4 linked regions of the Rhinolophus ferrumequinum genome follow. The protein of the gene in region 1 interacts with the protein of each later gene in a biochemical or structural test. Links are inferred from orthologs where the notes say so. Each region holds a gene or a part of one and is shown in the gene's direction. Other genes may lie near its edges.

What was found.
Region 2: the proteins of RBX1 (region 1) and CUL4B form a complex in vitro, tested with the Homo sapiens proteins (4 studies listed by BioGRID, with this or other methods). The link is inferred for Rhinolophus ferrumequinum from reciprocal best matches to the Homo sapiens genes RBX1 and CUL4B.
Region 3: the proteins of RBX1 (region 1) and UBE2R2 form a complex in vitro, tested with the Homo sapiens proteins (10 studies listed by BioGRID). The link is inferred for Rhinolophus ferrumequinum from reciprocal best matches to the Homo sapiens genes RBX1 and UBE2R2.
Region 4: the proteins of RBX1 (region 1) and DDB2 form a complex in vitro, tested with the Homo sapiens proteins (2 studies listed by BioGRID, with this or other methods). The link is inferred for Rhinolophus ferrumequinum from reciprocal best matches to the Homo sapiens genes RBX1 and DDB2.

What each region holds. Positions count from the first base shown.
Region 1 is NC_046293.1:6,875,393-6,882,321, reverse strand, and holds the start of RBX1 (E3 ubiquitin-protein ligase RBX1), read left to right. Parts: upstream 1-3,907; 5' UTR 3,908-3,987; coding exon 3,988-4,065; intron 4,066-5,984; coding exon 5,985-6,063; intron 6,064-6,929. UniProt on the Homo sapiens protein: E3 ubiquitin ligase component of multiple cullin-RING-based E3 ubiquitin-protein ligase (CRLs) complexes which mediate the ubiquitination and subsequent proteasomal degradation of target proteins, including proteins involved in cell cycle progression, signal transduction, transcription and transcription-coupled nucleotide excision repair.
Region 2 is NC_046284.1:36,157,296-36,164,987, forward strand, and holds the start of CUL4B (cullin-4B), read left to right. Parts: upstream 1-4,681; 5' UTR 4,682-4,813; intron 4,814-6,913; exon of another isoform or gene 6,914-6,918; coding exon of another isoform or gene 6,919-7,692. Other genes in the region: C1GALT1C1 (C1GALT1-specific chaperone 1), read left to right, coding at 6,919-7,692.
Region 3 is NC_046295.1:50,521,859-50,528,778, forward strand, and holds the start of UBE2R2 (ubiquitin-conjugating enzyme E2 R2), read left to right. Parts: upstream 1-3,907; 5' UTR 3,908-4,498; coding exon 4,499-4,675; intron 4,676-6,920. UniProt on the Homo sapiens protein: E2 ubiquitin-conjugating enzyme that accepts ubiquitin from an E1 ubiquitin-activating protein, and catalyzes its covalent attachment to other proteins by an E3 ubiquitin-protein ligase complex.
Region 4 is NC_046294.1:13,949,966-13,957,952, reverse strand, and holds the start of DDB2 (DNA damage-binding protein 2), read left to right. Parts: upstream 1-4,983; 5' UTR 4,984-5,090; exon of another isoform or gene 5,091-5,124; intron 5,125-5,386; 5' UTR 5,387-5,416; coding exon 5,417-5,543; intron 5,544-6,667; coding exon 6,668-6,804; intron 6,805-7,186; coding exon 7,187-7,378; intron 7,379-7,987.

The sequences.
Region 1 (6,929 bases):
CTACTGACACTGCAGTGGAGGTGGCCTCATGATTGATGGGCGATGGTGAAAGTCCTAACTCTCCACTAGGTTTCTTCTAACACCACCCCAGCAAGGATGGGCAGGGGTGTCTTGTTACTGCTGGGTGGGAGTGAAAGCCTTGACCCCCTTATGTTCCCTCTTACCACAGGGGTAGGGGGGCTTATCAGCCAGAAAGGATAAAAGTTCCAACTCCCTAATTGGCTTCTACCACCCTGGCATAGGTGTTAGGGCACCTGGTTACAGATTTGTGAGCTGTATAGACTAGGATCCCCACTCAGCTTTGCTGGCATGGGTGGGAGTGGGGCCACAATTTTTCTGTGTTGTTTGGATAGAGTAGAGCAGATATTTTCTAAAAGTTTTCTGTTTGCTTGAAAAAGCAGCCTTTTGTTAGGGCTTTTTTGTTTGCACTTATTAGCATTTTGGGGATTCTAGCTTCTTCATCTCCAAGTCTGGGGGGGATGTATGAGACAATAAGAAAACCCAGGAAACTCACTACCACATCATTCCTCAAATCCTGAGCTCCCTAACTGGTCTGCCTTCTCTCCATCTCAAAGTCTTCTTATTTGTTATTGTTAAATTTTATTTTATTTTAAATATGTCCAGGGATTTCAGTTGTACTTAGAGGGAAGATAGAGAAAAGTATGTCTACTCCATCTTCCCAGAAGTGGAAGTCCTGTCTAACCCTTTTTAAAGGGCATATCTGACCATGCGACTCGCTTGGTAAAACCCTTCAATGGCTTCCTATCACTAAAACCAAAACTCTTTGCATGGATCTTTTGAACAGCCTTGCATGACCTGGCCCCTACCAGTGGTAAATGTTTAACAACCAATTCTGTGTGGTAGGAGGAACCCTGATTTGTAGTGTTTGCTGATTTCCATGGTATAAATACTACTATTATGGCCAATTTTAAGCTACCAACATGATGTTGCGGAATATGGAAGAGATGCTAACTATTGACTCTTGAATATTATTGCAGACTCATTTCACTGTTTCTCTTTATATTCCATCCATTCCAAGCTTCTTTACCAGTGCTCTATACGAGTACATACTCCAGCTTCCAGCCCCTTCTACTGTTGGCTCTACCTGGAATGCCACCTTCTCCCATATCTGTTTGTGTGAGTGCTGAGCCAACTTACATCAGCTTACAAGAGCAATTGTTAAACTTTCAGGAACTTTGAAATCTGGCTGCTTAAGATACAAATCAAGGTTTGGGTTTTTTTTAGCTGATTTTAAAACATTTACCAGCATACCACTGCTTCCACCCCTTTGTCTGGCTCATCCTTCAATCTCAAACCATTTCCTCTAAGAGGACTACCTCCTAACCCTTAGATTTGCTTTCTATTTCACAGTACCGTATACTTCCCTTTCCTAAAACTCACTGGAATTATCATTAATTGACTCACCTCTCTACTACCACACCATAAGTTGAATGATGAAATGGGGCCTTTTGCAAAAACTTAAAATATCAGATTACTTTTTATATAGACGATCATGGTGTAATTGACACACAGCAGGTTCTGCAGATATTTTAGAAATATTTGTTGAATGGACAGATGGCTGAAAGGAATAATACTAAAGTAAAATCATAACCTATTGCATTGTAAACTGAGTGAAATTATGAAGAATAAGAATCTGTATGAAACCTACAAAAAGTTTTCGTAGGCTTATGCAGCAGAATGTAGTATACAGAATGTTATGCCAATTGCCACAGCAAGGCAAATCTCCAAAAGAGATAGCAGATGAGGTTTTCAGAGCTTAATGGAACCACCCCTAAGATCATACATCTTCCCATCATAGCTATATACAAATCAGACAACTTGGAAATTGTTGCTGCTTCCTCTCTTTTATCCTTACAATCCCTTTTTCACAAAGCTTTAAAACTTTTACAATCTTTAAGATTGTCAGTTAGTCCCCTCCCATAATTTACTCCTCCAATATCTTTCCATAACATCTGCAATAAAATCCGTATCTAATCTGGCCCTGCCTGCTTGTCCAACATCTCTTACCACACTCTTCTTGCTCTAAAAGCTTCAAAATTATTCATTCAAGACATACTGAGCACCTACAATGTACCAGGCACTGTTCCAGTTTTTGTTATCAATAAACAAAACAATCAAAATCCCCTCTATTAGTAAGGACATACAAAAATAAACCCAAAAAATGAAAAAACTATGATAGAAAGTACATGTAGCATTTTTTTTTAAAGCATCGTAAAATGAATGGGTAGCAAATCATGCAAGGCCTTTTAAGCCATAGTAAGGACTTAAGCTTAAATGTCACTCCTCATAGAGGCCTAACCCCCCAATTTAATGTTGCTTCCGACTCCCATCAATCTCATAACCTTGTTTTGTCTTCTTCACAGCGCTCGATACCAGAGATTTTCTGATATATTTATTCATTGACTTGTGTATTATTTCCCTAGTAGGAATTTGACTCCTTTTATCACTGAATCTCTCCTGTTTATAACAGGACCTGGTACATACTCAATGAATTTGTTGAATGAAGCATAAATATGTCCTCAATAACTTACTATGGTTTTCTAGTATTCCTATAGGGGCCTTTAGGACACAATAAATAGGTGACAAAAATCTTAACATGGAATTAATTTAACAAAACTTGAGCTAAGAAAAACTTTGTAGGGTTCCTATAATGCTTTTAAGGTCTCAATTTTTCTCTAAGTCTGGTTAAAGCTGTAATGTTTTCACGGATTTGATATTCCTGTTTATGACTACAGCAGGGAAACAAATCGCAATTAGTCCCGTTTAGCAACGGAGTCAACACTCCATTGCGCTCCAATTTTCTTTTAAGAGAAAATATGAGATTTCAAATAAGCCAATGTAAGAGTTAAGAGTGACCTAAATTATATTTCTGCAAGAGGAGAGAAGCAAAAGGGATTATCTAGATCAGATGTCCGGTCTAGAAATGCGAAGGTAACAAAATACAGGTGCTTTGGCTGGGAAAGAATGACCGGGAAGAATAAATAGCTGAATGCCTCATACAACAAATTCAAGAAGTACTGCGACCACAGATCCAAGCACAGTGCTAGGAGCGGGGAAAAGGACCAAAATTAGGGAGGAAGGACCCCACAGTTAGATGACCAATTGGGAATGGGAAATGTGTGCTGAACTGCGTGAAGTTGAAATCGTGTACCTTAACCAAATACCATTCTGGGACGGACTGGTATTTCGGGCGGGCTGGAAATGGCACCTCCCAGGCTCCCAAGCCTCCTTCTTCCACCTATTTCAGGTGGGCAGCTGAAGGCAGGGCTGGGGAATGCCTGCACAGTTTGGCCCTGGGGAGAACATTCGGGGAGCTCCTGTCTCCCGGTCGAATCCTGATCATTTCCTGAACTGGACTCAGAAAACCAAACGGTGCCCTGGGCCCCTGATCTCCCCAGCCTCAGGCCTCCCAGGGAAGCTGTATCGCGAGCCTGTATCGTTAGCGGGTGAGGATTTGCGAACCGCCAGTGTGCGGACTCGGGTTTCCGCAGCAGGAAGGGGGGCGTCCACCCTAGCCTCTTCCCAGACTGAACGCAGTGGAAAAGCCGCCGGCATGCCAGCAGCGCGGCGGCCGGAGAGGCGGGGCGGGGCCGGGGCGGCAGGTCGCAGCCGCGGCGGAGGAAGCAGCCGCCGCCCAAGCTGAGGGAGTGTGGCCGGGGGCTTCCCAGGGGAGGGCGACGAGAGCGAGTCCTTTCGAACGTTTCCACCCGGCTCGCTCACGTCTACCCTGCCCCGCCCGGCCCCGCCCCAGCTGCTCCGACCGCCGCCTCCTCCCCCGCCGACGCAAGAGGGAGGGTGACCTGCGCCAGCGCCTTTAAGAGGCGTGGCCTCATGCTCCGCCCCCACCTGCTCCTCGCGCGCCAGTAAGGGATGGGGGGCGGGAGGAGGTGCCGGGGCGGGAGGGGGAGCGAGGCGTGCGCTGGTGCGCAGGCGCAGTGGCCGGACGACGGACCGTGTGTTTCCAAAATGGCGGCAGCGATGGATGTGGATACCCCGACCGGCACCAACAGCGGCGCGGGCAAGAAGCGCTTTGAAGTGAAAAAGGTTGGGTCTCGCCAGCGCCTTCCTCAGGGAAGCTAGAGAGGCGCGGATCTGGCTGGCAGGCCCGTGGATGACCGAGGCGCGGAGGAAAGGGCTTCATTTCAGGGCGTTCCTGGGACCGGGTACCACGAAAGGAAGCCGGAGGGCGGGTCTTAGGGTTGATCGGCATGCCTGCGGTCCACTGTCAGTGGCGCTATTGGTTTCGCTAAGAGGCTGAAGGGCCAATCACGGATGTGCTTATTGAGATACGCGGGGTTGCGACTTGGCTGCGGGAGCCAAGCGCCTGAGCTGTCACTGGAGTGGTGGAGGGGTGGGGAAGGAGAGGGTGGGGTGGGTAGAAGGCGGGGAGTCGGAGCGATGCGGTGGGTGGAGGATGGGGCAGTGCGGCGAAAGCCGGGAACCTGAGGTCCTACCGCATTGGAGGCCTCTGAGGAGATAGGCTGGTGATCTCCCTGCCCCGCCCCTCTACGAACCTCGGGGTCTCTCTCTGTGAGGGACCCAGACCCGGTCCTAGCCTAGTCGAGGCGTCCATTATCATTAACCCCCTCTGTGTCCCGAGCCCGGCCGAGTTAGTGTCTTGTTTTGAGTGTAACTCTTGGCTCTTTTGAGAGATCTGTTGATTGTCACACAAGCCGCCCCAGTCATGTGGTCATATCCAGAATCCCCCTCCAAAAAAAAAAAACAAACCAAAACACCATGTTGGAATTTGTTATAAAGAAAATGCGAGCCCAAATCTTGTTTCATTGAGTGAGGGTTAAGTACTAGTTGCGAACGACCTGCTAAAAGTGGGATAGCGAAAAATGTGGAACGTGTCTTTTTGCATGAAATGCCTTATCGTGGTTTCCTAACAGGAGGAAAGGTGTCGATTTCCACTTAAGATAAAATAAATCTGTTCAAAATGAAGATTCTGAAATAGGGGCGATGTTATTCCTAGAACATCTGGCTAAACACTGGCAATATTCCCCCTCCTAGTTGATTTTTGGTGTTTCATTGTGGGCACTGCGTGTTCAGTTACAATCAGCAGCCATATTGAATAATAATAGAAGTAGGATTTTTTTCCTCCAAGTTGAAGCTGTCTGGTAAAAAGTGCTGAAGAAGTTACTAAGACACTGAAAATTGGATTGAAAGAGATGACAGTTTGGGAAGTGGCATCAAATTAGTGGATGAAAAGGAAGTTTGTGAATATTTATAATTGCAGAAGCCAGAAGGTTGAATTACTTAAATGCCACTTTTAGATAAACTCCTACTGGAATTAACTATATATAAGAGTCTTCACATGAAAAGTTGAGCCCATCAGTTTATTTGATGGTAGGAGCTAAACAAAATTCTAGTGAATTCTAGAATTTGTTAGGAAGTAATCTTGTAAGACTTAAGTGATGACCTTGTTCTGTGTACTGACACTGGGTAATTATTTTATCCAGCTTATCCCACGATTACCCATTTTATGATCCAATCATCATCTTAGTTCATTCTGTTCCTAGGGTTCACCTCCCCACTCATGCTTGCGTTGAAGAGCAGATATTTATTTATGCAGAAATTGAGCTCTCCTGCAACTGCCAGGGAACCTGCACAATAATTTGACTCTACTCATTAAACCTGAAATGAGCACTTACAAATTATTCCTGATTTGCTTACATTGATATAGCTGACCAGATCATTTTAAGCTGTAGGAAAAAGTAAAATTAGAAGATGACACATTAATTTCTGTGTTCATGTACTCAGCTGTTTGGGAAATGGGTGAGCATATGTATAGCTTACTATTGCCATCTAATGCAATAAATAAGAAGAAAGTAATATCCAAAGACTCTTGTTTGGTGGTCCCTGTGGCCAAAGAGATGCTAACTTGCCACTGCAGCATGAAATCCTAGAGTGTGTGTATGCGTATGTGTATGACTGCATCGTGCCCCTTTTTCTTTTTGCAGTGGAATGCAGTAGCCCTGTGGGCCTGGGACATTGTGGTTGATAATTGTGCCATCTGCAGGAACCACATTATGGATCTTTGTAAGTAAATGGGGGGGGGGAGGGATAATTGAGAAGGTTACAGAGATTGTGGCTTTTCTGATGGTCACCAATGTTATTTATTCTTCACAATGAAATACAAAGCACAGTCAGAGCACTTGAGGTCTTCTGCATCTAGTCCATTGGTATGTTTGAAACAGATTAGTTTTTATGATGTACTGGAGGCATACCCATCTCTCAGAATATATCTACTCAATCTAAAGATGGCATAGTCACATTTACAGTGAATTGTGGACCCAGAGGCATTGTGGATCATTCCTTTGTATTTCCCATCTCGGACCCAAACTCAAAGGCAAAAATGGTAAACTTTGAGCTAAAATATTCTATCCGAGTTAGTTTGTGCTCAGCAAGATTTATAAAGAAAAGCCTAAGAAATAAGGATTTTGCATGTTAGCCCGATGTGTAAAAGGACATCACTGCCAACATCTAAATAGGCAATTAATTGCACTAAAATTTCATTTAAATCTCCACATACTCCGTCACACGTGGTGGTCAACACATGGTGAACTTGATAGCTATTGACAGACTTAGTATCCATATAGCAATAGGGGCAAGAAGGTTGACCACATTAGAAAAAGTTGAGATTACTTTTTCATCCAGGTATTAAAATGGTTTTCTATTGAGATCAGAAGTGGGGCAAAGAAATGTCAACTTTCTAGAATTAAAATTGTAGGCACTTAGTTTTAAATCACTCATCTACCTCTCCAGCATCATCGTGAGCCACTCTCCTGCTCAGTCTAGTAGTTAGTTGCTCTGGCTCTCCATTCTTGAAGTGTCCATGCTCTTTTTTATTCCTGTTCCTTCTGCCTGGAATATTCTCCACCTCTTGTCCCCCTATCTTGGTCTAA
Region 2 (7,692 bases), on another chromosome or scaffold:
GAAATAAATCCATGCCAAATGGTCATTTAATCTACAACAATGGAAGCAAAAATCTATGGTGGGGTAAAGACAGTCTATTCAATAAATGGTGCTGGGAAACCTGGACAGACACATGCAAATATGAAGCTGGAGTACCTCGTTATACCATATACAAGAATATATTCAAAATGGATTAGAGACTTAAATGTGAGATCTGAAGCCATAAAATTCCTAGAAGAAAACATAGGAAGAAACTTCACAGACATTATCCGGAGTAAGATTTTTACTGATATATCCCCTCGGGCAAGGGACATAAGAGAAAAAATAAACATGTGGGATTATATTAAACTAAAAAGTTTTTCACAGCAAAGGAAATCATCAATAAAACAAAAAGGGATCCTACTGATTGGGAGAAGATATTTGCCAATGATAATATCCATAAGGGGTTAATATCCCAAATTTATAAAAAAAAAAAAACTCACTCAATTCAACTCCAAAAAAACAAATAAGCCAATTAAAATATAGGCAGAGGACATGAAGAGAGTTTTTTCTAAAAAGGACATACAGACGGCAGATGTATGAAAAAATGCTCAATCTCACTAATCATTAGAGAAATGCAAATAAAAACCACAATGATATACCACCTCACCCCAGTCAAAATGGCTATCATTAATAAATCAACAAACAACAAGTGCTGGCGAGAATGTGGAGAAAAGGGAACCCTCGTGCACTGTTGGTGGGATTGCAGATTGGTGCAGCCACTATGGAAAATAGTACGGAGGAATCTCAAATATCTGAAAATGGAACTACCTTATGACCCAGTAATTCAACTCCTAGGTATGTATATGGAGAAATCCAAAACTCTAATTCAAAAAAATGTATGCACCCCTATGTTTACTGCAGCACTATACACAATAGCCAAGACATGGAAACCGAAATACCCATCGGTAGACGACTGGATTAAGAAAATGTGGTACATTTATACAATGGAGTATTACGCAGCCATAAAGAAGAAAGAAATCTTACCATTTGCAACAGTATGGATGGATCTAGAGAACATTATGCTAAGTGAAATAAGTCAGACAGAGAAAGACAAATACCATATGATCTCACGTATATGTGGAATCTGAAGAAAAGAATAAATGAATGAACTAATCAGAAACAGTCTCAGAGACATAGAGGAAAAACTGAAGTTTGCTAGATGGGAGGGGGTGTAGGGATAAGGGGGAAGGTCAGGGGATTAGAAAGCACAATAGGTAACCACAAGATTGCCACGGGGATATGAAAGTCAATTTGGGGAATGTAATCAATAATGTTGTAAAGATTTTGTAGGGTATCCAATGGACACTTGTCCCATTAGGGAGACCACCTCAGGGAAGATGTAGATGCCTGATCACTGCACTGTACACCTGAAGCTGAAGCTGAACAATAATGAATATCAACTACAATTTTATATATATAATAAATATATATATATATATGTGTGTATATATATATATATATTTACAAGAATTGGAGTACAGCCTTAGGAATAGAGACAGTGGAAATGCCATGGCTGTGTGTGATGTCAGAGGGATAGTGGATCGGGGGAGGGGGGTTATCACTGTGTGAGGGATATAAATGATAAATGTCTATTACATTGTTTTGTGCACCTGAAACTACTAAAAACAAAATGTCTCCTGTGTTTACCAACATTAAGTACCTGTAGTACGTGTACTACTTCTGCCCAGAAGAAAGTAGATCTTTTTTGTTGAAGAAATCTGGTTTTTCATCTCGTACATTTACCCAGTCTGGTGCAAATAGTCTCATCCTGTTTCCTTTAATATGTTTCTCTGTCCTTTGTGCTCCTTATAAACGGGTAGTTGTGTCAAAAGTAGATTTTATTATTCCAGTGAACTGTTGTAGAAAGCCATGTTCATTTCCCAAAGGCCTTTGCAGTGATTTCGAAAATTCGAGTGCTCACATGCTACTGAATCTCCAATTACTGGAAATTAATGACTTCTCATTATGAATAATGCATACACTTGGGAGGAGGGCTTTACCAAAAATGCATTGTTTCAGTTTTGAATGCAATCTTGCCTTACTTACCTACTGGGTACATGAAGGCAACTAAACTCAAAAGCAACCCTCCCCCACAAGGTGCAGGTTAATATGTTTAGTGAAATGTTTAGTGCAGGTTACTGAAATAAGATGTTTATTTTATGCTTAATATTCCACTACATGGCTGTATCATAATTACTTAAACCATTCTCTTATTGGTGGATGTTCCCCACTTTTGCTATTTTATAAACAACAATGTATTTGCCCTTATACATTTAGCCTTACATTCTGGTGCTTTAATTTCTGGGGGAGAGATTACCTGAAGCAGGTTTGCTGGGCCAAAGAGTATAAATATTCTTAATTTTAACAGATATTAATTGCATGCATTTTTAAGTTAGGGCTATAACGTAGAATGGTGTTCTAAAACTGCAATCACCTAACTGCAAGTCCATCATCACACTAACTTCATTTCCAATGCTAAAAATATTTAAGCTCTGCTTTAAGTAGAGAACTGGGTTTTTAGGCAATCTCCCATTAACAGTGCTTTTGGTGTTGAAAATCCTGAGGTTTATTCTGTTTCTTGTAGCAATATTTCCAGTTTGGTTAACCTCCCTGTACTAGACATAAGATGCATTGTATTTATTTTTTCATTAGTTTCAGGTGTACAAAGTGACATAGTGATTAGACATTTATATACCTCACAAAGTAATAACCTCCATATGTCTATGTCCCATCTGACAGTGTTCAGTTTTTACAATATCATTGACTATATTCCCCATACTGTACTGTACATCCCTGTGACTCTTGTCACTACCAATTTGTATTTCTTAACTGCCTGGTCGTCACTGTCTCTGAATCCTGAGTGTCATTTCTATCTGTCCTTCATTGGTGCCTTTTGGCAAGAAGAGACTGGTTCTCTGCATTCTTTAAAAGAAGTATCTTTCCGTCTTGCCCATTTTGTACCTCTAATTTTGTCCCTTTATTTGCTGGTCTTCAAAAGTAACAAATGCTTGTTATATCCAGTGAAACAACACAATAGGAGGATGTATAAAGAGAAAGTTAATCACCCACACCTCGACCTCCTGATGTAATCAATAGTAACAGCTTGCTGAGGAGCCTTCCACAACTCTTTGCTCATACAAACAGATCAAATATATGTGCACACATAGAAAACTCTGTTCATTTTCAGCAAAGTATAATCATACTATACACATTATTCCGCAACTTGTGTCACTTAACTATATACATATACATATGCACATACATACACATATATCTACATATGTGAAAATAGACAATATATATTATTTAACAAAATACAGTGAATATACTCTGCAGTCTTAAGTTCCTTTCCAGTTCTAAAATTCATTTTTGTATTTCTTTAAAGGACATAACACTATTGTAATTATTTGTAATGAATTGTTTAATGCCTTTCTTCTCTGCTAGACTGACAGCTCCATGAAGGCAGGGGACTAATTTTGTTCACCACTGTAACTCCAGAATTTAGGAGTGCTGTCAGGATAGTAATTGCCTAAAATCGATTTGTTCATTGTCTCAGTGCTTCTTGAAACCTTCAGTCTACTTAAACTAGGTCATTGCCAATAGTCAAATATACGTGTCTTTAGGAGCTCAGGTATGGAGTAAGTCACCACTCAGTGTTATTTGGATGGAAGCTAGTTAACAGTACGTTTTAAATATTTGTAAGAATTTGTACTGTTTTAGCAAAACCCGTCTGTCACAAAAATGAATTTAAAATGGAAGATGGCATGTTTAGTGCAATTTAGGAGACCTAGGTTCTAGTCCTACCTCTGCCATTAATTTCTCTGTGGCCTTTAGAAAGTGCTTTATCCTTTCTGGTCCTGGTTCCTCATCTGTAGCTCTAGCATTCATTAATTTCAAAAACGTGTACTGTCTACTACAGGCTAGCAGCAGGCTAAGTGCTAGTGATACAGGGGTAAAAAATAATAGCCAAAATTCAATGAATGCTTACTTTATGTTTGGTCTTTTGTTGGAGTCATATGCACTATCTCATTTAACCTCCTATGAGATAGCACTACCGTGATATTTTCTGTACTTTACAAAGGAGGGAACTGAAGCATAATGAGGTGAAGCCACTTTTCTAGCATACCAAAGGGAACGGTGAAGATGGATTGGATTCCAGACAGTGGAGCTTCAGATGTCCTTCCAATGACCACAGTGAATCCTTGCCTTCATAATTCGATGTCTATTTCAGTCGCTTCCATTTTGGCCCAAGTCGCTTTCATTTTGGCCCAAGGAGTAACGGAAGAGTACATTTGAGAAACCATTGAAAGGTGTGCCACAAGAGCTGCAACCAGCAATGCTCTTCCTTGCTCTCGCAGCTTTCACGCCCGGAAAATGAAGAGGTGGGAGGTATCAGCAGGTCCTACGCCTGCACACTTCTCTAGGCGTCCCATTGGTACAGGCGAGCGTGCGGATCAAGCCAGCAGGACGCGCCTCTCTGACCTCAGCAGAGGGCGGGGAGAAAGGACGCGCTGCGTGCGCGGTGCGTGGGCGCTGTGCGCGCGCTTGGTCCTTCCGACGTCTGCGCTGGCCGATGTCTCCGCCTGGCCGAGGGCTCGTTTGCCCCGCCCCGCTGCCAGCGCTGTCGCGGCGTCCACTTCCTGGCCCTACCCACCTCTAGCGAAACCAACGAGGTTACACCGCCTGCATCTAGAGCAGCCCGACCAGGAGCGTACCCGAGGGGCGCGCGCGAACGTGAGAGGAAAGCCGTGCGCGGGTGTGTTTTCCCGCCCCTGAACCGTTCTAGACGCTGGTGAGTGCTGGGGGCATCGGCCTGCATCTGGAGCGGCCCCCGAAGCGGCCCAACCCCGCCCTTCTTTGGGGGATGGCCTGGGCCCTGGCCCACTCCCAGCATGCTCTATGCGGGGTACCCGGGCAGGTGCAGTGGGAGTAGTGCGGGCGGTAGACCGAGAGCCGCCTTCTTGAAGGCCCTCTTTGGCCCCGCAATGGGATCTTGAAGTGACCATGTCCTCCCTCCTGGTTTCCGTTTCGTCCTCCCTTTTCTATACTCCACCCCAACCATCTTCACCTTCTAAAACGATGCATCTCAGAAAACACTGATATTGTCTGCTTTATTTGTGCCTGTGTGCAGTTTAAGTTTCCCCCTCTTCTGCACCAAATATGCTATCATGTGCATCTCCCGTGTTACATTTTTTGCCACCCTGATTTAAAAAAACGATCTCTTTGTAATAATTGGTGCAAATAAGCCATAAGTAGTGACCCCATCGAGAAGAATTCTGACATACATATGCATTATTAAGCTAAGAGACACGTATGAATTATCATATATTAGCCAGAAATGAAAATAGCATAATATGAAGTGCGAAAATTCTATCTAAATCAATTTTAGAGTGCATCTGACAATTCTAATATTAAGCAGAGCTTGTGTCCTGTCAATTCTCTTTTCCTTCTTAGAGCTGTGTTTATTGACCAAGTTCTGTGAGTGGCACAGGAAAACCATCCTGCCTCTTTCCCCACCCCCACACCCACACTCAGGAATTACATCTGCCAAGCTATTCCACACCTTGTCCTTCTAGTACAAGTCCAAGTCCATTTCCTGTAGAAGAATATCACGGGATGGTTTCCTCGTAGCAGTGTAGTGATGTCGTGTCCAAAGTGTCAGCTATGGTTAAAAATCCCACAGGTTTTTGTTTGTTTTTTTGATTTGTAGGAAAACAAGGTTATTCAGTAACTTATTTATTAAATTCTCGGTAATATCAGTAAATTCTCAAATGGCTCAGGGGCAGTAGAAGCACTGTTGAGATCATTATTCTGTAATAGAAAAGGCATTAAATTGATGTCAGGAGATCTGATTTCTAGTTCAGTTCTACCACTAACTAACTCTGTGACTTTGGGTCAGTTACTTAAACTCTCTGGACCCTCTCCCTAGCTGTAAAATGAGAGAAATTACATTAGGTAGCTTCTAAGACCCTTTTCAACTTTAAGAGACAAAGGGAGAATCTCAGTAGCTAAGTACACCATTCCTTGTGGAGATAGAGGGGAGATTGTGAAAATCTCGACAGTTCTATTTAATGTTGGGTTTTCTTTTAATTTATAATTTAAGTAAAAGTGTAAACTTTTCTCCTTTTACTTCCCCAAAGAATAAGAAAATGCCTTGGAGGAAGTAAAACTGTTCATTAATGGTTCCCCAGAATGGTGCCCCAAATTATCATTCAAATAATTTAACTATTTTCATTGTGGGCTTTGATTACATGAGTTAGTTGGGATACTGTATTGGAAACCATTTAGTCTTAGGAACAATAGGGTAAATATTAACATACACTGTGTCAATTTCAAGAAACTTGCTTTACATGTACTCAAAACACCTAAGGACAACAATCATCAGTTAAATAAAGCACTAGGTTGAGAACAAAAATGCCAGCACAGATACCATTGATTTGCCAATTGTGGGTGGTTTTATCTGTTCAATTTAAGATTTTGATGTAAAAGTCTGTATCTGAAGAGGTATTTAAATAATATAATGCAAGCTTCTGATACGAAATTCCTTTAAACAGAATGATGGAAGAATAATCTATGTAACATTGGCTACTCGAGTTAATGCTTTTAGTACTTGGTTAATTAAATCCCCATAGATGAAATACAAAAATAGCCTCCCAGAAAATTCTGCAGAGAGGTGTTGCTGCAAAGTTCCAGTTTATACTGAACAGTATAAATTGGAAGCTAATTATTATTAGACCCTTTGGTACTTACATGCAACTAACTTGATTTCAAATTTGGGAACCTTTATTTAATGTTAAGACCAAAATGTAAGTATACATATGGAATACCAAATCAAATCACTAGGTTAATCCTTTTCTTTTAAGTATCCTAAGGATTTTTTTCTTCTTTATAGGAAAAATGCTTTCTGAAAGCAGTTCATTTTTGAAGGGTGTGATGCTGGGAAGCATTTTCTGTGCCTTGATCACTATGCTAGGACACATTAGAATTGGTTATGGAAATAGAATGTACCACCATGAGCATCATCACCTACAAGCTCCTAAGAAAGAAGATATCTTGAAAATTTCAGAGGATGAACGCATGGAGCTCAGTAAGAGCTTTCGGGTATACTGTATCATCCTTGTAAAACCCAAAGATGTGAGTCTTTGGGCTGCAGTGAAGGAGACTTGGACCAAACACTGTGACAAAGCGGAGTTCTTCAGTTCTGAAAATGTTAAAGTGTTTGAGTCAATTAACATGGAAACAAATGACATGTGGTTAATAATGAGAAAAGCTTACAAATACACCTTTGATAAATATAGAGACCAGTACAACTGGTTCTTCCTTGCACGCCCCTCCACGTTTGCTATTATTGAAAACTTAAAGTATTTTTTGTTAAAAAAGGATCCATCACAACCTTTCTATCTGGGCCACACTATAAAATCTGGAGACTTTGAATATGTGAGTGTAGAAGGAGGAATTGTCTTAAGTATAGAATCAATGAAAAGACTTAACAGCCTTCTCAGTGTCCCTGAAAAGTGTCCTGAACAGGGAGGGATGATTTGGAAGATATCTGAAGATAAGCAGCTAGCAGTCTGCCTGAAATATGCTGGAGTGTTTGCAGAAAATGCAGAAGATTCTGAAGGAAAAAATGTATTTAATACCAAATCTGTTGGGCTTTTTATTAAAGAGGCA
Region 3 (6,920 bases), on another chromosome or scaffold:
ACTGTCAATATTATTTGTCTATTGATTACTTGCTTTTGTCTATTTTTGTCTCAGCCACTAGAATGTACGCTCTATGAGGTAAGGCCCAGTCATTTCTGTTTCATTCACTATTGTATTCTTGGCATTTGGCACAGGGTCTGTCATATAGCAGGCACTCGATAAATATTTGTTGAGTGAATGAATGTCTCTTTCTTAAGAGCACCTTGGATGCTCGGAGAAAGATGTAAACAAATAATTGTAGTATAGCACTGGGGTGTTATGATATGCACACATTGCTGTGGGCACGTTAGATGAGGAACATTACAGCTTGGCGGTTAAGAGCAGTCACACTAAAGTGGGATGACCAAGGTTCAACCTGAGTTTCTGCCATTTACTCACTGAGTGACATTGGGTGACTTTCTTAACCTTTCTAAGCTTTATTATACTCAGTAAATAGCCATGTTATAGATTTTTGTGAGAATTAAGTGGGATACTGCATATAAAGAGCCTGTCACATATTGATACACAGCAAATGTTAGCTGTTGCTATTAAAGGAAGATTAGTGCTCCTTAAGTGCACTATTCAAGATTTACATGTGTTAGTTAACATATGCAGAATGAAAAAAATGTTGGCCCCCTAAACAGAGTCATTCTATAAGGTCAGAATCTTTCTAAAGCAAATACCAGTCCTTCTCATTTATCTTACTAAGATTTCCTTTATTTTTTCTCTTTGCGAGAAAGGTAATAGATTCTTCAAAAGAGCCCTGGTTGTAGAGTATCAGGTGATGCTGTGCTTAGAGTAAATATCCTGTTTTCTTTACCACCAGAGGGCACCAATCAGCAAAGTCAATCTCTACTTGTCATTATGAAACAATGTGAGAAAGGTCTAGGAAGCTGTTTCTGCCATTCATTCTTCTAACAAACATGTTTTGAGTACCCACTGTTTGCCAAACATTGTAGTAGCTTGTATATGGTTATGAATAAAACGTGTCATCCTTGTGGAATTTATAATCTTGAGCACCTACTATGTGTCTGAGAGATCCTATAAAACATGGAGGTGGAAGGTGGGGTTCAGTTTGGGGTTTTTAAAAAAATTTTTCTTGGGGAATATTGGAGAAGAGTGTATTTTTCCAGGACCCATCAGCTCCAAGTCAAGTCGTTGTTTTCAATCTATTTGTGGAGTTCGCAGCTCACTGGCCCATCTGGGAATCGAATCGGCGACCTGGGTGTTATGAGCACTGTGCTCTAACCACCTGAGCCAACCGGCTGCCCAATTTGGGATTTTTGTTTTGTTTTGTTTTGTTAATGATTGTCTTCCTGTCCTTAGTTGCAAGCCCATGAGAACAATGACTTAGTGTCTACTTTATGTCAGACGTGTGCTGTTTGCTCAGGATCCAGGGATGAATAAGACACAGTCGCAACCTACTAATAAACACTGTCTTACCTGCTAGGATAAAAAGGCATGAGACAAGTTCTGTGGAATTCTAGTTCCTCTGACCTAAGAATGTAGGACCTTAAGTACACAATGCATTAGTAACACACTAGGCTGTGAGCCTCCTAGACAGGTGTATGTTTATTAGTCACCCAGCTCAGGGCCATGCCCACTGTGGATATTTAGTATGAGTTTGTGAGTTGATTTGAGCCCAGGGCACAGCTTCTGATCTGGGTGCCAGGTCTATGTTCCAGTGGGTTAGGCTAAGGATCTACCAACTTCTGGGTCAGGGTGGGGCTGTGATGAGTTTATGTGGGTGAAATGCTTTGAAGATGAACTTTCTGCCTATTTGTCTATTTACAGTCTTGTTATTAAAGGTGTCAACATCATCTCCCACGTTTCCAGGTCAGCAATCTTCTTGTCCCTAAATTGACTGGTGGAGAGGAAGTCAGAATCAGTCACATACCATCATTTTGGGAGGTGAGGCTGCACTACTAAAACAGTCCCCCTTCTCTGAAGTGAGCTCTAATTCCAGTGGAGTTTGGCCTCAAGGCCTACTGAATAGAGTTGGGCGCTAGGGAATGATTCATTAAAATACTGAAACCTCACTTCTGAGAAAAAAAGAACAAAAAAATGAAAGGGCTCCTTCAGTGTGGTTTGTGCATAGAGATTTCCTTCTAAAGTGTACAGTATCGAAAGAAGGTAAAAAGAGTAACTTTACAATGGAGAAACCTGATACACTACCTCAGTCAGGTGAGTGAGGTCAATATCAACACTGATGGCATGTTGGCATTATGTGCCCTTGATATGATGTGATGAAAATGTTTTTTGTTTTTTTTTACCTCTGTGATCTTCTCCCCAAAACCCTATAATCCTGGTTTAATTATGAGAAAAACAACACATATCCTAATTGAGGGACATTCTACAGCATACTTGACTAGTGCTCTTCAAAACTGTCAAGGTAATCAAAAACAAGGAAAGTCTGAGAAAATGTCAAAGTGAAAAACATGAAAACTAAATATAATGTGGTGTTCAGGATGAGATCCTGGAACAGAAAAAGGACATTAGGTAAAAACTAAGGAAATGTGAGTAAAGACTTTAGTTAATAACAATTTTGATTCATAATTGTAATACATGTACTATATTACTGTACGATGTTAATAATAGGGGAAATTGGGTGCCTATGGGAAAATATGGGAACTCTCTGTACTATCTTCTCAATTTTTCTAGAAATCTAAACCTGTTGTGAAAAAGTCTATTAAACAGTGGGAGGGATCACATCCAGAATACAGCTATGCCTTTAAATTATTTTTCTTCCTTTAAAGTTCCTACTTATGGATCATTTACCATGTTCCAGTCATTGTGCTAAACCTTGTGTACAGATAATCTCAATTAATCTTTACAATTGCTTATATTACATATAATTAACCCTCTTTTACAGAAGCTGATGGAAAAGGAAGAGGTAATGTAAATGGTGGAGCCAGGGTTGGAACAAAGGATCTTTCTGATCCCCCAATTCTGGAACTTTCACAGTATGTTGGCTTTTCTATAATAGAAAACATTTAGACAGTTATCACAGGACATGCTTTCCTAAGAGAAAGGGGCAGTCTATCTAAATCACGGGGATTGAAGACTCCACATCTCACTTCAGCCATGATTATCTTAAAAGTCCCTCAATCCCAGGTTGGACCTTCAAGCTGTAAGGCTCTGTAGGGGGTCAAAGTTCACCCACAGTACTTCATTTTACAAATGGGTAAACTGAGGGATAGCCAGAGCACTTGCCTCAAATCACAGAGAGAAGGGCCAGGAACCTTGGTTCAATCAGTATTATTATTTTCTATTTCCCACAAGCTTCCTCTTTGTAGTTAAGAAGGGAAGTAGAAAGCTGGCCTATCTGCCTTCCGCATTTCTCAATGGAAACTGGCCTCACCCACTCCCCCAAATGGGTGCCACACACTGCCCTCCAAAGACACACTGGCGTGAGGGCTGGACCTGCAGAAGAGATGTCAGGACGCTTGTTCCCACCGATAAGGCCCACATTCTCAGCACATCCTTGTCAAGCATCTGCAGAGTGTAGGGACAGCGGACTGTGTGTCACGGGGAGGGGCCTGCAGGGGACCAGGGCTCCTGGGAGGATGGCTGAGGAGGCCTGTGGATGCGGTAGGAGGGCGCTGATGGCTCTAAGACCAGAGGTCCCTTCCCGGGCGCGCCTAAGGAACCAGGGCATCCAACCGTCACTTTGGGGCCAAGGGCATCCCTTGAGGCTACCCTCCGCCCTTACAGCTGCTCGGCCCTTTAAGGGCGGGGTACAAGCTCTGGCGTCACAAAGCGCCGCCACCGCGCTGGGCCACTGAGAGGAGGCGGGGAAGTGGGAGGAGGAGGAGGAGGAGGGCGAGGAGGGCGGGGGAGGGAGGGGCGCGCGCAAGCGCGTCGGGCCGCCAGCCGCCGAGAGCCTCCCCCCTCCCGGCGTGCGCCCCTCCTCCTTCTCTCCCTCCCTCGTTCTTCTCCGCTCCGTCGCTCCCGCGGCGCGAGGCGCTCTCTCTCTTCTCCTCCTCCTCCGCTGTCGCCCCTCCCCACGCGCAGCCGCCGCCGCCGCTGCCGCCGCGAGACCCCCGATCACTGCGCTCCCCCCGCCCTTCGGCCCCGCGCACCCTCCGGCTCCGGCGGCCCCTGAGGAGAACGAGAGGGCGAGCGAGCGCGGCGCTCCCGGGCCGGCCTGCCCCCCTCCCCTCACCGTCGCCTGCCCTTCGCCGCCTTCCTGGGCTTCCACCTCTTCTCCCCCCCCCCTAAGTTGAGGCCCCCTCCGGGGGGGGGAGGCCCGGGACCGGGAGCGAATTTTCTTAACTCCCTGAACCCCTCCCCCCACCTGGCCGGAGTGTGAGGAGGAGGGCCCGGCCCGCGTCGTGTGTGAGGAGGACCCGGGTCGGCCCACGGGCCGTCTGGGGCCTGGTCCGGCCCGCCGGGTGTGTGAAGACAAGGGCCCGGTGCGGCCCGGCCCGAGCGCGAGCGGAGGGGAGGGGCTTGGTCCGGCTCGGCCGGTGCGTGAGGACTGGGGCCCCGGCCCGGCGCTGCCGCCGCCGCAGCCGCGATGGCCCAGCAGCAGATGACCAGCTCACAGAAGGCCCTGATGCTAGAGCTGAAATCCCTGCAGGAGGAACCGGTGGAGGGCTTCCGGATCACCCTGGTGGATGAGTCCGACCTCTACAACTGGGAGGTTGCCATCTTCGGACCCCCCAACACCCTCTATGAAGGCGGCTACTTCAAGGTACCCCCATCCCCTCCTAGACCAGGATTCCCCGGCGGAGGCCTCTGTTCCCAGCCGCTTTTGGCTCTTTTCGGGGCCAAGGGTGAGCGAGTGTGAGCGCGGGTTAGCGGAGGGGGCTCCTCACCTCGGCAGCCCCTTCCCCCACTCGTGGAGGCAGGAAGGCCTTGCTCACCAAGTGCCTTTTCTTTGTCATGGGGGCGGGGGCGGGAGGCTAGACTGCACCGGGAAATAGGAAAGCCTCTCTGGCTAGTGTAGAGGCGACCTGGGGAGGAGGGCGGCTGTCTTTGTTTTGTTTCCTCAGCGGAAGGTGTAAGGGAAGAAAGGTGGTCTGTCTTTCCCCTCTCGTCCTCCCATCTGAACCATCCCTGCGCCGGCTGGAACTGCCCCAGAGGGCAGAGTGACCTGCACTTATTGGATTGAACCTTTCTTTTTTGGGGGGTGTGGGGGGAGGGGTATTAGCCTGTCATTCCAGAGGCTGCCTGGTGACCTGACATCTTGAGGATTTGATGGGCTTCTGACGGAGTGGTAGTTCCAACTTTGCATTCCAGTGGGCGGTAGTGAAGAATGGGGGCTTAGGGGTGGTAAACAAGGGTACCTGCGTTTTCTTTCCTTTATTCATTTGAGGGAACTTTAATTTAGCCCCCTTTCTGTCCTCATTCTCTATTTACTTCTGTAGTGTTTCAAAATGCTCTTTGTCCTCACCCTGCCACCAACTTTACTGGCTTTGTTGTTGTTGTTTTGTTCCTACATGTAGAAATATCTAGAGGGTGGAACTTATTATGTAGGGTGATTGATAGTTTTCCACTTTAGTGAGACGAAATTGAAACCCTTTGCTCAGGTGGTTAACTCTAGAAAATGGGGTGGTCTCACAGATTAAAAGTATCATCTGAGGTGAAATGGTTTCACCGAGTAGGACGGCTCCGCAGACAGCGACCACAGACATTGCTTCCATTGTTTTCCAAGACTTTAGAACGGTGGTTATTATTCTTGAATATGGTGTATTTTTTTTTTTATTCCATGGTAGATAATTTAGAGATACTGAGGTGTTGTGTTTTTTTTGTTGTTGTTGTTTTTGTTTTTTACCATTTTGGAAGGGATGGATCAGATTGAAGGTTGAATGTTTTAAATGGTGTATGCAGAGACCGAGGGAAATGAGTTCTTAGGAAAGCATTTAATTTTTGTATTTCCAAAGTTAAGTCAAATAGAGCAGTGTGAGTCAATCGTAGTTTGTTTTGAAGGGAGGGGCTATCTTGGCAAAAGTTTTAAATGAGGATCTTAAGTCATGTAGTTATGGTGTGTATATTTAGGACTACCCAATTACTTTTGTTTTTTTCTCTTCTAAAGGTAGAAGCCTCAGTTTCAGGCTTGAAGTTGGGTCAACTTAGTAGAAAATGTGAAGAATTGATAGGGGAATGTTAAATATTTATGCCTGTGATAGGCACTGAATACCTACTAAAAGCACTATTTAGAATATTGTGTAATAGCAGTACCCTTACCAGTTGTATGTCTCATCTTTTGTGGTCACGATACACTATGCTTTCAGATGCAGATATTTAAAATCACTAAATATACAAGTTATTAGTTGAGGAATGTCTTTTGTCAAGTATAAATTTTTATTTATAGATACTGAAAAAATTAGTTTCACAACATGGAATTTATATAACTTCTAGCAAAGGATTATTTAGCAAAATTTACTGGCTAAATCTAGTGGAATGAAGTTTAGTTTCCAAAAAGTATCATTGTTTGGGGCAATTGACAGTCTAGTTAGAATAATCTCATTCCAATGGAGTTTGAAAAAAAACAACTTTTCAAATTGTAATATTTTAGCTTAAATGTGAAAGGAGTGTGGAGAATCCTCTCAGTTTGGAGTAGATAGTATATAAAGAGGATTCCCTGTAGCCTACACTGATTTAAATTAAAAGCTTATTAATTTCAGCCCTATTTAAATAGAATGGTTTAATTTCCAATTTTGTTGTGTTAGATTTCTTTATCTTTGAGTTTTTTACCTTTGTGATATGTAAAAATGTATGAAAATTACAGTTTTATGTTTTAGTCTTGTGTGAGAATTTCGTTCAATTTCATTTTCTTCCACTTGTTTCCTTATTATATGGCCTTTTATCTCAAAATCCTTCATTGGAAACGCAAACTTATGGTCATGAGCAGTTAACACTGGTGATAGGTTTAAAACCATTGTTTTTTATTTCACTGCTTTTGTCTTAAAACAAGGCTTTTAGTGTGTTCCACT
Region 4 (7,987 bases), on another chromosome or scaffold:
AGACTCTGAGGGAAGAGTCTTTACTTGCCCTTCTTGTAGGTTCTAAGGGTTACCGGCAGTCTAGCAATCTTTGGCATCCCTTTAGTTTCATCATATCACTCTGATCTCTGCCTCTGTCTTCACATCATCTTCTCTGTGCCGTCTCATCTCCCTCTGCTCAATCTTATAAGGACACTCACCACCGGATTTAGAGCCTACTCAGATAATCCAGGATGAGCTCATCTTAAAACTCTTAACCACATCTGCAAAGATCCTTTTTTTCCTAAATTAAATAACATTCATAGTTTCTGGGGATTAGGAGGTGGATATACCTTTTCAGAGACCACCATTCACCCCACCACACTGGGCTAGAGGAGGCCACAGCTGTTAGCCTTGGAAATCTAGTTTTAAAAAAAGCTTCTTGAACTTAAAAAGCAGGCTGCCTTTCAGAGTTTCTCTTCATCCCATTTCACAAATATGTCTCTTTGCAGAATGAATTAGGGGCCTAAGTGCTGCCAACACAAATGTGGCCTGGTCTTCTAGACTGCCTATAATTATGACAAAACTCTCAGATTCTGGGGCCTTATGACATGGGATAGTCAAGCACAGAGAGTAGTGTACAGTCAACGTGTCTGGGAGGGTGCCCACGCAGAGTGGAGGGTGCCCACTCAGAGTACAGCGTGTGGGGCAGGAGGCGTGTAGCGCTGTACCAAGGTACCTCCCCTGCCAAGCTATTGGCTTCCCCAAGAAGAAGCACAGTTACCCAGGCAGCTTCCTGCCTTCCTCTATAGGGACAAACTTAGCTGGGGTTCCTTGGGCAAGTTTTATGTCACGTGCTCCTGGAGTGAACATGTCATAGTAGGGACAGGAGCCAAAGCAGGGCAGTGGGAAGAGGAAAATGTAAAGGAATGCAAATGTAGTTCTCCCGGTCCCACTAGCATGTGACTCACCCACTCATAGGAAACTGGCTTAGCTGTTACACAGAGAGAAAGAACCATTTTTATTTCTGCCACTTGGGATTTTTGCAGTCTTGGTTGGCATCGAAAGACTGAGTAAAGGCACTGACAACTCAAACCCCTGGTTTCTGATTCTCTGGTGTCCCCTCTTTCCATGATGGCTATCAGACTGGTGAGAACTCCTGCGAACAGCAAAGAGCTTCCTCACCACCTTTATCAGACCTTCCCAGTAAAAAGCATATCACCTGGAAATCATACAACTTCTATTTGTAGAACACTTCACAGTTTGCAAAGTACTTTCACATATATTATTTCAGCACACCGGCAATTGCGCTGAAAACCTGGCTGCCGAGAAAAGTTTCCTGGCATCCTGTACCTACAACAGTATTTCATGACAGGATGTTGGTTTAGTGTGGGAATGGTGCTTCATCCCCCACAGTAAAGACAGAAGGTGGGTTTTTTGGTATTTGCACAGCTGTCTGACACTTCCAAAGCTACTCAAAATTGTATTTTTGAAAATGAATGCTATTCCCAGAGGGTGGGAGCCATGCCTCCACTAACATTATTATGAATGTATTCACATTTGGGCATTTAAGTATGCGTTGGAGATGCCAAGCAACAAGGACTCTGGATGCTGTATTCCGTCTGTTTCCAATCCTTTAGGAGGAATTTACATTTCAGTTCCCTGCAAACTCTGCAGAATCCTTGAGGCTGTCATTTGCAAACCACTGGATGCAGTAACTGTGTGGGAGAAGCCTGCACACACCATCCGCGTGGATTAAAGATGGTTTTGCAGACTCAGCAGAGTGTTTGGATCCATAAACAGCTTGATCAGAATCCGAGTCATGTATCAGCCTGCACCAGGAAAGTGATTCCTACTAGATGGAAATTTCCCACAGAAACGTCCGAGTTCAAAGCAGTCACCGGTTTCTACCCCTTTAACAGCAAGTCACTGGCTCATCGATTTTAAAGCCAGAAGAGATCTGAGAACACCCAATCCCTCCCCTTGATTTTATGAAGAGACTTAGGCATAGAAAAGTGAAATCATGAATCCAAGGTCACATAGTCTAAGAAAGAACAATGCTCTTTCCACTGTGCTATATGATTTGTTCCAGAAAACATCTAAGCCACTTATTGTTTTGCAGATCAAAGAAACTGGCATTAGTTAGGGTCATGCCCATGGTCTGCCCAGCTTCCAGTGTGAACACGAGACCTTGATTTGCCATCACCAGCAACTTTTGAACGAATTGCCTTGTGATGCCTTATGCCTTGACACTACTCAGGTAGTGTCACAGATAGGACCAAAACACCTATAAACCGGGTTTCATGGCATGGTCTTTCCATGACAAGAGACCAAAGCAGTTTTGCCCCATTCACCTCGTTATTAGATTAGCAGAATCAAAAAAATGTGTATTAAATGCTTTTGTCCACCCTGCAGCTGATGGATCACCAAATGGGAATGGACAAACATCAAGCCCCTAGGCAGACATGTTGCAGTGAAACAAAGCAAAACCCAGGGAAAGAATGCTTCAAAGCACAACCTGAAACAAAGCGCTTTACTGGCCTGTGTGAGGCAAGTTTCCACTGGTCACATGTAGCGTGTTTAATCCACCATGGAAAACTCCTCAATCCTAAAAACAGATTCTGGGGAAACCTGGCATTAAGCAGGACGTTCCCGTTGCTCATTAATCCATCATGGCTAACTATCGCCGCTGCTCTTCCATTTCTTACCCCCTCTGCCTGCATTCCTCTCCCTCTCTTCCCTACCCCAATCTCTCAAGATTCAGTTTAAGTGTCTGAATCTGGGAAGACTTCCTTGACACTACCCCTTCTTTATTCCACTTCAAGCTCAGTTAAAGAGTCCTGTTTCTGTCCCCCACCCCACCAGACCCAATGCTTCCTCTCACTAAGCTTATCAGACTCTACGGTAGCTGTAGGTTTACTTGTCTATTAAAAGGCACACTCCATGTGGCCAAAGGACATTTTTCATTTCATGATTCTCTTTGACTGGAATAGTTCCTGGAACAGAGCAGGTTTTTGAGAAATGTCAGTAGAATAAATGAAATTTGAATTCTTTTGCCTGCCATTCAACTTCGCCCTTTATTTGGCCTCTCTTACTTTGCAAAACTGATCCCCTGTGTAATCAGTTTTCTCATCTTTAAGCTGTCTCCTACCAGACTCATAAATGTCAATGCCTCCAAGCCAAATACCATCAGGGACACTCCTGTCCACAGTTGAACTTTGGGTTTAGTGCTCATTGCAACAGAGGATACATACCATGGGGAATGGTGGGACATCTCTGGAAGAAGGTGTTAGAAAGAACTTATAGGACTGGCTTCTGCCGAATGATTTGGATAAGGGTTCAAAGAAGTGGGGCTTTGCTCTGGATTGCAGGCTGGTAGGAAATGAGCGTAATTCTATGATTGGGTATTGATAAATGCTAGCTAAAAGGTGGGAGGAATGAAGCAAAGCCAAAGCTGTGGTTGACAAAGAAGCCGCAGTCATTCATTTTAGCCAAAATAATAGGGGGTGGCTTGGTCATTTTTGTGATTTGGACAATGTTCATACTTTTGCCTGTGTTCAGATATGACTGATCATGTTTTTGCGTTGACCTATCATGGCTAGGGTTTCCGGGCAGGACTTCCCGCCCGTTCTCAGGAATTTTTTTTGCTTTCCCATTCCCGAATCCTGAGATATAAACTGTTTTCTGTTCTCCATGATAAATCGTTTCCACAAAGTGATGGCCGATACTACCAATGACCTGGGTTCAAGGAGCCGGTTTTCCCGATTTTCTGACCAACTTTTCTTGGGATTCAGGAATGGGAAAACGAAAAAAAATCACGAGAACAGGCGGGAATTCCCGCCAGGAAACCCTACGGTCACAGAGTGGCCTTGTCTGGTGTTGTTTGGTGAAATTGATTTTGACAGAACACCAGGCCAGCTCCCAGATGCCAGGGGCTGCTTTTCTCTTATAACCCACACCCATTCCTAACTTGTATCAAGCTGTTTCTCTGCCTAGGAGGCTCTTCTCCCTCCCCCAGCCAACTCCAGGAAATCCCAGTTTCCCCGTGAGGCTTTCCTAAATACGTGCTCCATTCGATGATCTTTTCTGAATGAATCTAAAAGTCTTGGTTGGCATGCCACAATTTAGTAGTCAACTGTGTTCTATCTGGAATTGTGTGACTTGTTTCACATTATTTTTCTTCTCTTCTCAGTAGGCTGTATCCCTCCAGAAATGAGCACCCTGCTGAGGTGAAACTAATGGCTGGTCTGAGTAAAAGGGAGCCAGCTTGCTTTTGTAACACAGCTCTGAAAACACAGTTACCAGACAGCAGGGGAGAAGCCACCAGCCTGCCCCCTGCGTGGCTGTCTTTTGTAACACTCTGAGCTGATCTTCCCATCAAAAACGCATTTTCGAATTTTGCTTCCGGGGCATTCCTTTTTTTCCAAGAGTTATATTTTGAAATGTCTTTCATCTTTACCTGTCCTTGAGCGCAGGCTTTACTGTTAATGCATTTTTGTTTCCTCTTACCCTACCGAGGTGCCTGGCACCGGGTTTCGCGCGTGGAAGAAAAGGCCCAGCAGTTCCCAACTAACCCCAGCTTCCGCCTGGCTCGTCGCAGAAAGTGGGGTGCATCCCTGTCGGGCCAGGCATGCCAGCGCAGCCTCACCTGTGAGTCACTGCCTTGGCGTTTGGCAGAAGTCGGGCACAAGGCCTCTAAGCCGGGTTGGCCCGGCACGCCCTCCAGCCCCTCATTGCCCTAGGCTGCGCCCTAGGCGGACATGCAGCAGGTTTGGGGAAACCTTAGTTAATAGCTGCGAGTTTCAACCACTCTCCACAGAGAAGCTGAGATTCTACTAAACCGGAGAGATTAAATACTCTATACTGATTGCAAAGTTTGTAGGCGGAAAGAGGTCCGTTTCCACCGCTGGGAAGTGGCCAGCTTTCTACAAAGCCACCTCCCACTAACTGTACGGATCAGCCAATCCCGAAGCCCAAGCGGGCATGATCACCAATTAAAAGACAGAGAGGGCGGAGCTGAAGCCTTAATACGTACCTGGCCGGCTGTGGACCCTCTGAAGCTGGCAGCGCCGCGTCTGAAGAGGCTTCAAGTGGGGTGGCCTGGCACTGGCTGCCATCTTTATTCCTGGCAGGTCAGCGGACTTTCGACTAGCTCAGGACCAACACGTAGGTGCTATCCCATTTCTCTAGGGAGCCTATGAGCCCCACCCCTCACACACTTCCCAGGTATCCGCGCGCGCCCCCGCCTTCCCGGGAGAGGCGGGGCCTCTTCGGCAGGGGCGGGGCCGGAACTAGACGCCAATTTGGAAGCCTTGAGCCTGTTTGGCGGGAAGTTGGCATGTTTGGCGGGAAGTTGGACCAGTTCCCTGGTCCTCGCCTTTTTTCTCTCCAGAGGCTTCTCAATCTTCCCTCCATAATCTCTGCATAGGGTATAGAACCCCTTCGCAAGGAGGACGCGATGGCTCCCAGGAAACGCCCAGAAACCCGGAAGACCCCCGAGGTGGTTGTGTGCCCCAAGAGCAAGAGGAACAGAAGCCCCAGGGAGCAGGAGCCCGAGGCCAAGAAGCTCTGTGTGAAGGGCCCCGGTACTGCCTGCGCCTGCTGCTTTCATAATTCTGTCATTTGGGGTTCTCACGCAGGAGGCTGGAGTGGGGGATTGGTGCGTCTAGGTTCCTGAGGCTGTTGCAAATTTCAGATGCCTCGAGCTGTGCAGATTGTCTGCAGGGCTTTTGACACCAAAGAGCTTGGGCTTACCCTCTTTCAGGTGACAGAGGCAGATGAGCTCCATTACATCAGCCACAGCGGACTTTTCAAATTCCTTGTTTGTATCTGGATTTTGACACACTGAGGACTACTTAAAATAATCCCACCTTGCCTGGTGGTGTGAGTACTGAATTTAAATAGTCACGGTTATTAGTTGTATGTCCTTCGTTTCAGCTGTGAGAGCCTTCAATTTCCTCCCTTCCTTAGAAAACACATTCTCAGGTTTATTGAAGCTAGAACCTAGGGCTATAAGGAGTGTGAGGGAACTCAGAAAGACTGGAGCAGGGGGTTGAAGTGTTTTTTTGTCCACGAAAAGAAAGAATTGGTTATCAAGAGGCCAGATTCATAGAGATCAGATCTTCAAATACATCTTGGTAATCCAGAGTTGTTTTATTCCTCATCTAAGTGGCTCTGCCTCCCCAAAAGTAGCTTAGTTAATTTAGAGCCATGCCAGACTCTCTGGATCCTGTTGGTTTTCAGGAGAACAGATTAGACTTGGGGCCAACAACTGGTCACCTCTATATTATTTTAATATAGGATTTAAAGATACTTCTTTTCCCAGTCACTTCTACGCTGTCCTAAACTTTTTATTGTGCATTATATGTGATTTAATTTTGTCACCCAACCTTAGCACAAGTTTTCCAATCCAAACTGGGAAGAGCTCTGCATATACTTTATTCTTGTGTGTTTCTTTGGCTCAGCTCTCAGGACCTCTGCACCATCATATTTAGTTTCACTTCAGAATTACTATTTTGGGGGAGGGGCTGAATCCCTACTCACTATTTCTTGTGCTGGGTGAGACTGAGCGGACCATGGAAGAGGCTTGGGAGGTGATGAGAGAGATTGACTATGCCAAAGGAAACAACAAGGCTTTCTTTCTGGGATTTCGGCTGAAAAGCCTTTCCTGAGTGAGATCGGAGAGGAAAATATGTGTTCTGCTTGGCAGGTTCTAGCAGAAGATTTGACTCAGGCTGCCTTTGGGCAGGGTTGGCTAGCCTTCAGGTCCCGCCACCATGCAGGAGCGTCGTCAGGGCCCTCCATCACCATAAGCTGGGCAAAGCTGCTTGGCCATCATTACAGCAGGTGAGGCATTTCCTGGCTGAACTGCTCAAGGGTTTGCTCAAGGGTGCCTTTTTACAACTGGATGCTCCAAAATTAGATGCTAGGTTGGTTCAGTGGTTTGTCAGAGTGGTCAGATCACACCCCCTTGGGGATTGGCCTACTGGGCACTCAGCCAGGTAGAAGTCTTAGGCTGTAAAGGTCCCAGCTGAAGCGTACCTGCCCTCTTACTCTCCAAGATTAGTTCATACATAACTGCAAATATTTTCACGCACAGAGCCAGGCAGTGAGTGTTCCTTTGGTGGGAGGACTTGGCCCTAGGGCTCATCGATGGAGGAGGCAGAGTTTGGCAGTTTATTTAGGACTTGGGTTTTAATTCAACTTAATTCTTTTCTTTCTGTGTCAGTGTCTCCAGCAGTCCTTTGTGCACTCTCTGGCTTCTTACCGGATATTCCATAAGGCTGCCCCCTTTGACAGAAGGGCCACATCCTTGGCATGGCACCCAACGCACCCCAACACCCTGGCTGTGGGTTCCAAAGGGGGAGATATCATGCTCTGGAACTTTGGCATAAAGGACAAACCTACCTTCATTGAAGGGGTGAGCAGTTCCCTGTGCCAGATAATTGTGCTGAAGAAGTGTGGAAGGAATGAAAAGTAATCCAGTAAAAAGGAGATAATTGGGAGCAAAAGTAACTTGTGGGTATTTTCAAACAAGTAAATGGTAATGTTACTCAAATCTTTATTGAGTGCCTGCCCTTAAAATATTAGAAGGTATAAAATGTTGATCACCCTCCATGTGGTAAGTCACCACATCGAATAGAATAGAATCTAAGCCCTTTCATAACTCTTGACCTCATCTTGTACTGCTGTATTTTCTCACTTCCTGTGCTTTATCCACACTGGCTATTTTTATTCCTGAAACTGGGTCTTTTTGCAGTTGCTCTTTGGCTGGAGTGCTCTTTTCCATGGTCTTCTCATGGCTGGCTCCCTTTTATTATTCAAGTCTCCCCTCATCACACTTCTTCAATGAACTCTCACTGACCACTCTGTCTAAAGTAGTCTGCATCCCACGCAATCAATCCTTGTCTCATTACCCTGCTTCACTTTCCTCCCCCCACAATGTTTATCAATATTTTGAAATATTTTACTTCTGTACTTACCTTGCCCACTTGAAAGTAAGCTTCATGATGGCAGGGACCATGTCTTT